2 linked regions of the Neodiprion lecontei genome follow. The protein of the gene in region 2 purifies or fractionates together with the protein of the main gene of each other region. This does not show direct contact. Links are inferred from orthologs where the notes say so. Each region holds a gene or a part of one and is shown on either strand. Other genes may lie near its edges. The genes, in order: leupaxin and tyrosine-protein kinase CSK.

Region 1 (5,197 bases), about 18 Mb from region 2:
TTGATTTTTTATGTTTAGATCAATCTGAAAAAATAGTCGCTGAAAGAACGATGAATGCCGTTATACATTCAACCGTCTTTCTTGTTGTAGTTTGGAAATGATCAACATAATTGTGCTTGTTCGGCATATGTCAGCGAATAATTCCTGGTTATGCATATTCAAAGAATGTCAGCAGATTGCGTTATAGAAAGCAATGCGTCAAGCTGCAAGCCGCTTGAGAAATTGGCATATTAAGGATACTTTTATTGTAAGAATATATTAATCAGCTATTGCAAGATCTTTCAAATAAAATAATATGAAAAAGTTCGCATTTTCTCATTATTTTTCGTAAAATTAAGACTAAAATCCCAGTTTGTTACAATTAGAGGTGAAAATATTTCTATCTCTAATTCAGAATCTATCTAATTGTAATTTTGTTTTCTGTGAAGTAATTAATCAAGTTTAACTTGTACCGAAACCGTCGAAAGAATTGAATGATTTTTTCATTGAGTAAATAAAATGCTCAATTACTTACTGCGTAAAACGTACCTTTAACAATTACTTAGGTAATCAGAGCATTTATACTTGTATCATCATATCTGAAAATTGGTATTATTCATATATAGAATAAATTGAAGATACGCTTTTTTTAATTCTTGCAGGTTCATTTTTTTGAATCGCTACATTTGCATTGAGGTTTTATTAGCTTTCTCATAATTATCTCAAGAAAATTTACGTGCAAGCAATGTAGTAAATAACAATTGTTATGAAGTTAAGAATATGTAAATCACAAAAATATGTAATAACACATTGAACGTCGATGTAGTAAAACTTCATTTATACGTTTCTCAAGAGGTATATCATATTTTATAAAATATTAGCATGTTTGTACATGTACAAAAATATACGAAATGTACAGATACATGTACGAAATACGTATCAAATTTGTGGTATTTTGTAAAAAAAATGTTGTAATAAAGAAACGATATCATTTAAATGATTAATCAAAAACTTCATAACTCCGAAGCTAGATGTATCGGAATATTCGATTTAGTCTTGACAATTTTGTTTTACATGTATAATCTTGTGTGAAAATTTAATCAGAATTGATTACGGAACTTTTGAGAAAACGTTGATTTTCGATCTTTGGGCGGTAGACATAGAAAATATTAAAAAGCATACCTCGAACGAAAAACTGACCTGTGATTAAGAGAAAAATGGGCTAAAGGAGTGTAGCGACAAATGTCACCGTCTAAGTGCAAACCTAACGAAGGACGTAGTACGTAATATTCATTTCTGGGTTTCCCAGTGGTTGATTATTTTTTGGAATCAAAACCGGAACGGGTTTCCTTTCTAAGTAAATTTTATATGCAAATGACTAACGACGTAAGTAACAGGAAAAACAAACGATACATTGATCAATAGGCACATAAAATTTTTATAAAAAGAAACATGTTTCGGTTTGATTACAAAAAAAGAAATAGTCAACCACTTGGAAACCATTAATGAACATTACTCAAGCGAAATGCTTCTAGATAATTTGTAGCCAAAAACTGTCAAGATCAAAAACATTTGACGTTGGCATACAAGAGTGAAAAACATATAAATAAAATCTTAAATCATCATACTTGAAAGTGAAGTTTTGCCAGTGAATGGAGTAAATTCATTTCGAGCAACAATAAAGCGTTTCAAAAATACTTCTTCCATAATCTTGCGATGTGGAACGATGCAGTCGAGATATGCACAACATTCTATTCTGTTACGCATTTTGTGGCACGCGCGTGGATCGTACATATCGTGTCCGTGGATTCATACGTATAAGTATATATTCTCTCTTGAATTCCTGACTCTTAATGCAACAAAACTACTACAGAGATCCCGTGCACTGTAATCCGTTATACTCGCGAAGAACATCCTGCCTGTAAGTCTATGATTTATACTCATCCTCTGCACCGCGGTATAATGTAAATGCGCTGCAAATGATGATATACTCTGCAGGTACCAACGCTTAAGAGATTTAATTTATTTCGTGGATTAAGAAATAGTATTTATCGCAGATTAAACACGCGTGCAGTTTCCATCCTTGGTAAAGTTTGTCTATTCGGTTTATTCGCACTCTAAGTCGGAAAAAGTGACGTCACATCACGGACTAATCCACATTCAAGAACCTTGAATTTGCTACTTATTCGAGCATGTATCGATGGTTCAAGTTACCCAATAACCCTTGCGACAAACTGTACCTTTAACCTCAACACCAGAGCGTCGATGACGTCAGCCGCAGCGTCAACCGAGTCGCGACTGCCGTGATTTCTGATCGAAACGTAAGGAATCTGATATAATATTGAAGTTAGTCACGTTGTTGTAACGATTGTATGCGATAAGCAAGTCGTTATTTCGAAATTTCGAATTCCGCTTTCCCTCTGAAATTCAATAAACCGTACTAGCATATGAAAACATACTAATCTACTTATTTTGAAAACTTGCCTCCCTTCAAATCATTCCAATAGAGTTTTCAATTGACTGCACTGAATGCATCGAGTGTGAATTTCCCCGGATTTCACTTTTACTATTTGTCGAAAACTGAAGAACTGACATGTAGTACACACTGATTGTGAGTGCAGCCCGTTAAAAACCCTATAAGATCGTAAACTAGTGAATTTTTTCTCAAACCTACGTTACCAAATAGCGTTTTTCACTAGCTGTATTCGGTGTGCATTGAGTGCAATATTCCCAGCTTCGAAGGAAAAACAGAAGCGAAATCCTAGGAAAATCGCACTCAGTGGGCACTGCATTTAGCTAGTGAAAAATTCTACTACTTCAACCTTGAAAATCACAAATACGAGGGACGAATGGTCGGGGGATCTTGAGACGAATTGGATTCTCACCGAGGCTTACGAGGTTGCTCGAGGCCCCGTTGCGGGCCCTCTGAGGATCGTAGACCTCGTAAAGGTCGTTACTGTCGGTCGACCTCCTGGCGTAGGCGCACTGACTGTCCATTTTTACGAGGTGAAGAAAACGGTACGCACCAACTTATTTCGCGAGTAAATATCACCGGCAAACCACCTTTGCGTTCGAATGGAGAAAAGGGGGGAGGCTGGATTAGGGTCTAGTAACTGGGTCTTTTCGACTGTGCAATTTATATACTCCAAACGTGCGCGGTAATATATTTGTACAATATTCTGGCGCCGTTCGTAGACAGCGGAGTTGAGTGGGACCGACCGACCAACTGACTGACTGACTGTGAATTGCTTGCTCTGACGAGAAGGTCGCCGGTCGGCCATTCGCCGATTGCGTTGGGACTCTATGGGCTTCCGCGAAGCGTTCCCTCGAGGAGGTGGAGGAAAGGCTGTCGCCTTCTCCGTCGCCCGACGCGGTTCACAGGGGGAGGGGGGTGAGCGGGCGGGGGGGGGGGGAGGTGGAAACGTGTAAGCGGCGGAGGACTCGTCGCGGCATCGCATCGTCTGGAAAAATGAAGGGGGGGGGGGGGGGGGGGACTCCAGCGTGACGAAATTTTTCTGTAATCTCCGGTGCACGACGAACGCGCGCCTCCAGAGCTTCGTTATCTCGGGTCTTTCGCCCCACTTCACGCGGAATCGCGTTGTCAGTTCCAAAAACTGTTTTATACCTAGTATATTGTACGTATGTATGGGGTAGAGTTGGAACGAAGAAAGGCGGGGATTCATGTTTTGTTGAGGATATTGTGAAGATCGAGGAGACGCTTTTGAAATTCAGGATCAGAATTACCCTGTCGGTCAGTTATTTTTATAAACGATCGATGAAAAATGGAGGTCTTGGTAATAAAAGGTATAAAAGAACTAAGGTGATGAAAATTTCAGAATTCTCTTAAGTGAGTGTAAACAAAATGGCGGGGGTGAATGCTATCTACATTTTTTTCATACTTTTTCACGGTTTTGATTCTCAGTTTTAATCAATTCCGACGCCCAGATAGATGGAATAACTATAAAATAAACTTGTAAAATGCGAAAAATATCGAAGTCGCATTTTCAAAATTTATTGCTCTCATCGATTATGTCGCTCTGGTTCTCTCTCTTATTTGAACGGAAATTCATGAACTACCAAGTCTGTAAATTTTATTACTGATAATGCACGCGAAAAATAATATACCTAATAATTTTATTTCATCCGCAAGTATCCGCGATTCATCATTGTATACGACTTCATTGTGACTATTTGCTGTACATTTGATACGTTCTGCAGAAAAGATTGATGCGTAGCTGTCAAGAGTACGACGTTCCAACGTAGCTTATTGCATACTTTCGGAACGTGAATGAGCTTTAAGCTTTGGCTAAAAGCCCAGAGGTTAATTTTGTTTAATTTTTTTTGTAACGTTTAGTTTGGTTTTTGCGCGCGTTCAAATCTATTTTATGACTCGTGAATCATTGCGTGAATGGTTTCTAAACCAACGCAGCAGCAATATTGATTACATAGATTGATAAACCGAACGAGATAATAAATTTTCAACCTCTCTGCATACAAATATAATGCATTATATAATATTACATGTCACTTTAAATAGAGTTCACGTACATCTCAGATTTCCTACCAATTAACCAATTGTCACTTGACGACGTGAAATCCCATAACGTATAATCAACGTATAACGTTAATTGTGCTATTTTTACTTACTAATATAACGCTCCCAGCGTTTATGCCGCTCCAGAGTGGCCGAACGGGCAGGCGTAATTGGGGACATCGGTCTCACAGAGGTACTCGTCATTTTCACAATCAGTCAATTTATTACAAAAAAATACACTTCACCGTATACCACTTACAGCTCTGTGTCTATAAAAAAGAGATTTCCGGACGTTGAAAAATCTAACCCAGTGATTCTTATAAGGTAATTATTACCCAAAGTTATTCAGTCCATTTATCCAAGCCCGATGCTTGATGGCGACTCAATAACAATTTCGACCACATAAGATTTACTGATAACTGAACTATGTAACAAGATTTAATTTCGATTCCAGAATGGAGGCACAATTCAAGCCTGAATAGAAAATCAAAATAAAAAAAATGAATGTTCTAATCACTTAAGAGAATTGTGGGTACCATCATTTCGAGAGTCAACGACTATCCAAGATGTATATTTTTTGAACCCTTAAAATCCCTAATTGAGAAACTTGTAAGACCTCTGTTGTCTGTTGTCCGCAAAATCGATACTGTATATGTCGCGTGATAATCAGAATATCAGATCTAA
Region 2 (5,208 bases):
TTTATTTTACAATTTACCTCTCCCGTCCTTCATTTAGTTTATCTCGAATTTTCTTTCATTCTCTCTTCTATATACATGTTCTTTTGTTTTTCGTTTTTTTGTTTTAACGGTGTTACAGTTACACCTAGATTTATTCATTACTATCATTATTATCATCAATATTACTATCCACTCGATGAAAGCGTATATATTTAACGCGCACATGCCTGCGGAATTAAAAGTACGTGTATGATATAACCGAGAGGGAGCAGCGCGACTTTCGCATTCGTTCATAGTCTTCTAAAACCCACGCGGTAAAAACAGCACACATGATATGCGGGCAGATAAATACCTCGTCGGTATTTTTGTACAAATCGCGTGAGTATTCCGTTTATACCTGGTAGGTATTCACCGTATCTCTGCGACTCTGTGCCAACCACCATACAACCTCGTTGCGGCTTTACGCATCAACAACCGTGGTGTAAGAATTCGAAGAGGGATAAATTTAGATTCAACGAAGAAGGAAAGAGAACGAAGAAGAAGAAGAAGAAGAAGAAGAAGAAGAAGAAGAAGAAGAAGAAGAAGAAGAAGAAGGAACACACATCTGGAGCGACGAAGAGATATACATATACACACAACGCGTGCGTACGTGCGTAAAACGCAGTGCAGGCAGCAGCCTTGACCTACCGAACATATATTTCTCTCTGTTCGTATATTATCGACAAATCAAAATGTAGTGTGAAAAAGAAGACAAGACAAAACAAAACAAAACTTTAACGAGCATTGCTGAAAAGCAAAGAAAGAAAAGAAAAAAAAACCGTCTACCGAAGAGTCGAAAAACATATACCTACATTCGATTCGAGAATAAACCGGCAGATATTTGATCGAAGAGATGTTCTTGTACTGACCCTTTGAAGGTGCCATTTTTCGACTCAACAAATTTAAAAAAACCGTAAAGAATTATGTTGACAAGTTCTCTTAAATACACAAAAGATGGATATAAAATAGGTGGCAAGAATACTTATCACCGTAACTCAACCGTTTAAGCCAACGAAAACAACAACAGGAAAGTGAAAAAAAAACAAACAAACACGAATCGATGGCAACCGCATTTTTTACCAAGAACCTGTTACTCAGAACTATCGCCTCGAGACGAGTTATCAAACGTTTATAACAACTTAATCTGGGGCTTCTGGAACCGTTAAGTCTTATCATTACCATTGTCATTATTATTTCACGATAATCGTTAATTCATTCGGGATTACTTTACGCACGGTTTACACATTTCTTCGCTTCTTTTTAGAAAAATCTTTCGTTTAATTAAGAATCGAGAGAGGGAGAGAGGGAGAGAGAAAAAGAGAAAAAGAATTTCAACGCTCGCGTGTTGAAATAATCTTCATCCTATGCTCGCAAGTGTGGAAGTCTCTTTACGTATAATATTTCACACGTTCTTCGAGGTCGTCGTGTGCAGATGGAGGAAGAAGTCGACTGCGCTAACCGTGAGCATTAAACCGGCTGAAGAAATTAAGAGTCGATATTAACGCTCGTCGTTACGTGCAGGCGTAAATACTACGCGGTGAAATCGTATGATAATTCCATTCCTTCGTTCGATCGCCAACGCGATGTCGGAAAAAGTGGTTTTTCGAGAGGAAGAAAGAGAAAAAATTCCTCTCGCCCAATGTGGAATTCGCGCGAGAGTCGTCGCAGCGTTGTAAATAGTATCTATTCCGTACGGTATCAGCAAAGTGAAAATACCGCTGATGATTTTCATTCTCGAATGTCTTCTTATTCTTCTTCTTCTTCCACTTCTTCTCTACTTCAATCAAGAACGAATTCCGACGGCTCGGTGGTGAAACGCGAAGGAATTCCAAGACACGATATAAAATTCTCTGGCGTTTCTATCTTTTCGTTTACTCTCTCAGGCAAGCTCTCCTCCCTCTCTCTCTCTCTCTCTCGCTTTCGTTCTCTCTCTGTCTCTCAAGGTCGAAACATCAAATTCCATGGTGGGAGAATTCCGTGACTGTCGAAATTCCACGACGACTGAACACCCTGGTTATTGACGCTTGTTAAAAATCGTAAAAGCGTGAAGGAGGCGAGATCCTAATAACACCGAGTCGTCGAGGTTTAGCGACGGGTAAGCGAATTTCGAGAGGTGCTGCTGCTGCTGCATATTCCGTCCGTTCAAACATTGAATAAAACATAACGAATTCTCGCGCAAAGTGCCTGTAGTAAGTAACAGCGAATTGCGAAGGAGAGAACGTCGTTTTGTTTCTACGTATCGGGGTAGCAAGTAAATACTCGAAAAAATTAGAGCGATGAGAGGTATGCGAGGAAAGTTAGCGGACTCTTAAAGGGCCGGTCGATCGAGCAAGAATTAGGAAAACAGGGGGGAAAACGGTTAGAAACAGGTTCGAAAAAGTACGAGGTTCCACTCAGGAAGAGGAGAAAAATAAGCAACTTCGAGAGTTTCTCGCGGGTCGCTGCGTAAACTCGGTGACGATTAAAGACAAAAAACAGAGAAAAAAAACAATCGGGAAAAAATAAAAAAGCAATTCACACACTTCCCGACGGGAAACGCGGTCTGGTGTTCGTGCACACTCTAGTGCGTGGATGAGAGTCTCTCGGACTTCTATCCTCGTTTCGTGTAAAATTCTAGTAATTCTGTTTATATCGTGTTGTTTACGGATGAAGGTTGTTTTCCTGTACATTACCTGTTAACTAAGTGGAGTCGTGGTTTCCGCACTCGGTTGTATTCGTCGAGGGGTTAAACCAGCCAGACACTTTTACCCATCCACTTGACACAGCGCGACACCCGACGAGTATTTCACCTCGGACGTCAATTTTTTACCACGACGTCGACACAACACCGTAACAAACACCGTAACACTACATAGAGAACACCTTCGACTTCTGCGAGAAGCGAATGTCACACGCTCATCTCGACTCGTCGGCCATTTTGCCACAGAGCCTAGGTATCTGGTATGTAGGTGGAATTGAACGCTATAACCACTACTGTAATATCCGACAACACTTTGCGCCCACTTGGTTGGCAGCTCGTCGCTTGTGTTAATTCCGCTCGGCTGTTTGGTTGGCACTGAAGTAATACGGTACGACCCGTAATAAGAGTCCACCGACTAGGCAGCCTGCGGCCATCTTGCGGCCGCTCAACGAACCTCGGCTCCATGCTCTATCAATAAATTCTCACGCTGTGCCGCGAGGTGGGGGGAATCCGTAAATACCGAAAAAACTGAATGATTTCAATTCGGTTGATTCTGATCATTGTCTTTTCCCATGACAAATTAATGAAAGGGGTCGTTGTTACGACGACCGTAATTGTTCTCAATTCGCGATTTAAGTCTGTAAATTGAATATTTGGGTGAAACTCGTAGTGATCAATTCGTTTCCATTAGCTGTATGTACACCTTTAATACCATCAAACTGAAGTTAGTAACGTTATCGTAACGTTTGGAATTATTTGAAATTCAGTAAACCGTAACAGATGAAAACACACTCATGTTTCGACATCTTGTTCGTTCAAAACCATTGTAAAATTAAATAAGTACTCATTTTTCCCCAATGTTTCGTTACGATAACGTTATCCATATGAAAATATTTTCTTCATTATTCATAAATGAAAGAAGAAGAAGAAGCAGTTAACACGATAATAACTATTATATATTGACAAAGATTATTTGCTTTGGATGAATGTTGAATTTCAAAAACTTCACCAAACCAGCTAATAACTGGATATTCAGGCTCTGATAATTGCTAAAGTCCCTATATCTGTATACTGTAAGACTGTATTCTGACAATAGCCAAATGACTGATCTCGTTATTATTTTTGAGGGGAATATCAGCTGGTGTCTCGCCAATTGCATGCAATGATGCACATGGTATGCGTGTACATTGTCCACGTACGTCAGTGTGTACATATAATCGCGCAAGGTGAAGCAGTGAGTCACAGTGGTTTTGGAAGCGTAATTAATGGACGACGTTGACACTGTCTCGTCGAGGTTTGCAGCACATGCGACACACTGCATACATATATAAATACATTAAACTTGCGACAGAAGCAGTCATATATATAGGTATATCACAATGGATACTCTCCAGGGTCGCTTTCGACACGATTCAATGTTATGCCTAAGGTGATCTTCATGCATTCGCATTAAATCCTCTCTCGTGCATACTATATCCACACGATATACTCGCAACTATACAATATAGAGTCTGGTATATAATGCAATGCTTGCCAAATACACATTTAACAATCAATTATTTTCAAATTTACACAAAATAATAAATATGCTAAAATTTAATTTACGAATATCGTTCTATTTCAAAGTATTTTACCATTTTTAGTTGTCGTCAAAGCAGAAAAACGATTGGCAGGCGGTTAAATTTATCAGAGTACAAAATTGAGGGAGACATTTCGCGCCTGGACTGCACAACCTGTGGCAAGTTTATCGCGATCAAGACCGTGGATGATGTAATTAATCTCGACGGTGTTATTGACAGCGATTGCGATGATATTTGGTTGGAGGTTGTAGTAAATAAATAAATAAACGATTGAATGATGATTGCTTACATTACCGTTTCTACCTTACATATCTTTCACGCATAAGTATTTTGTTCATCAGGCTAAAACACGAAAGGAAAAAATCGTCTACTACGCATTGTCTCAGATTATCTACTTAGAGCGTGATTCACCAAAGGAAGAAAAATATGAATCGGTCTTTGCTTATGCTGACGAATCTGACTTAGTTATGCTTAGATGGAAAAACGGTACGGCGATCGGATTTTTTACGCTCAAGCAAAAAGGTAACACACGTCTAGGTGAACATAAGTAACTCGAAATCCTAAGAATCCAATCTTATTAAATTGAGAAATTAACATTTTCCAATTCGGACAAATTGATTTACACTAACAATTCGTATGTATCGAAACATGCTGTTCCGAGCTGATGGCAGAAAACGTGATGCTTAAACTCGATCATATTCAAATACAAAACTTGATTTTTGTTCCATATTTTACTTGAACATTCATTTAATACCGGAAAATAAGTTTAACAACTTGGATGATATATTCTGTGCTTCATGTTCGAATAATTGACTTCAAACGATCAGCTGATAACTCAGCACGTCGCCATGCTGACGAAATGTATGTTACTAAAATATTATTTATAAAAAAAAATTTTTTGCAAAAAGTTAGGCCCTACTTATTGTCAAC

Evidence for each region.
Region 1: the proteins of tyrosine-protein kinase CSK (region 2) and leupaxin purify together in Homo sapiens (affinity purification with mass spectrometry; 4 studies listed by BioGRID and IntAct, with this or other methods). This does not show direct contact. The link is inferred for Neodiprion lecontei from reciprocal best matches to the Homo sapiens genes CSK and PXN.

The regions. Positions count from the first base shown.
Region 1 is NC_060264.1:9,647,674-9,652,870, forward strand, and holds the start of leupaxin, read right to left. Parts: upstream 3,185-5,197; 5' UTR 2,977-3,184; coding exon 2,865-2,976; intron 1-2,864. UniProt on the Homo sapiens protein: Cytoskeletal protein involved in actin-membrane attachment at sites of cell adhesion to the extracellular matrix (focal adhesion). Recruits other proteins such as TRIM15 to focal adhesion.
Region 2 is NC_060264.1:27,154,697-27,159,904, forward strand, and holds the start of tyrosine-protein kinase CSK, read right to left. Parts: upstream 3,043-5,208; 5' UTR 2,959-3,042; coding exon of another isoform or gene 2,903-2,958; 5' UTR 2,691-2,902; intron 1-2,690. Other genes in the region: protein FAM169B-like, read left to right, coding at 2,903-2,958, 4,342-4,522, 4,620-4,800. UniProt on the Homo sapiens protein: Non-receptor tyrosine-protein kinase that plays an important role in the regulation of cell growth, differentiation, migration and immune response.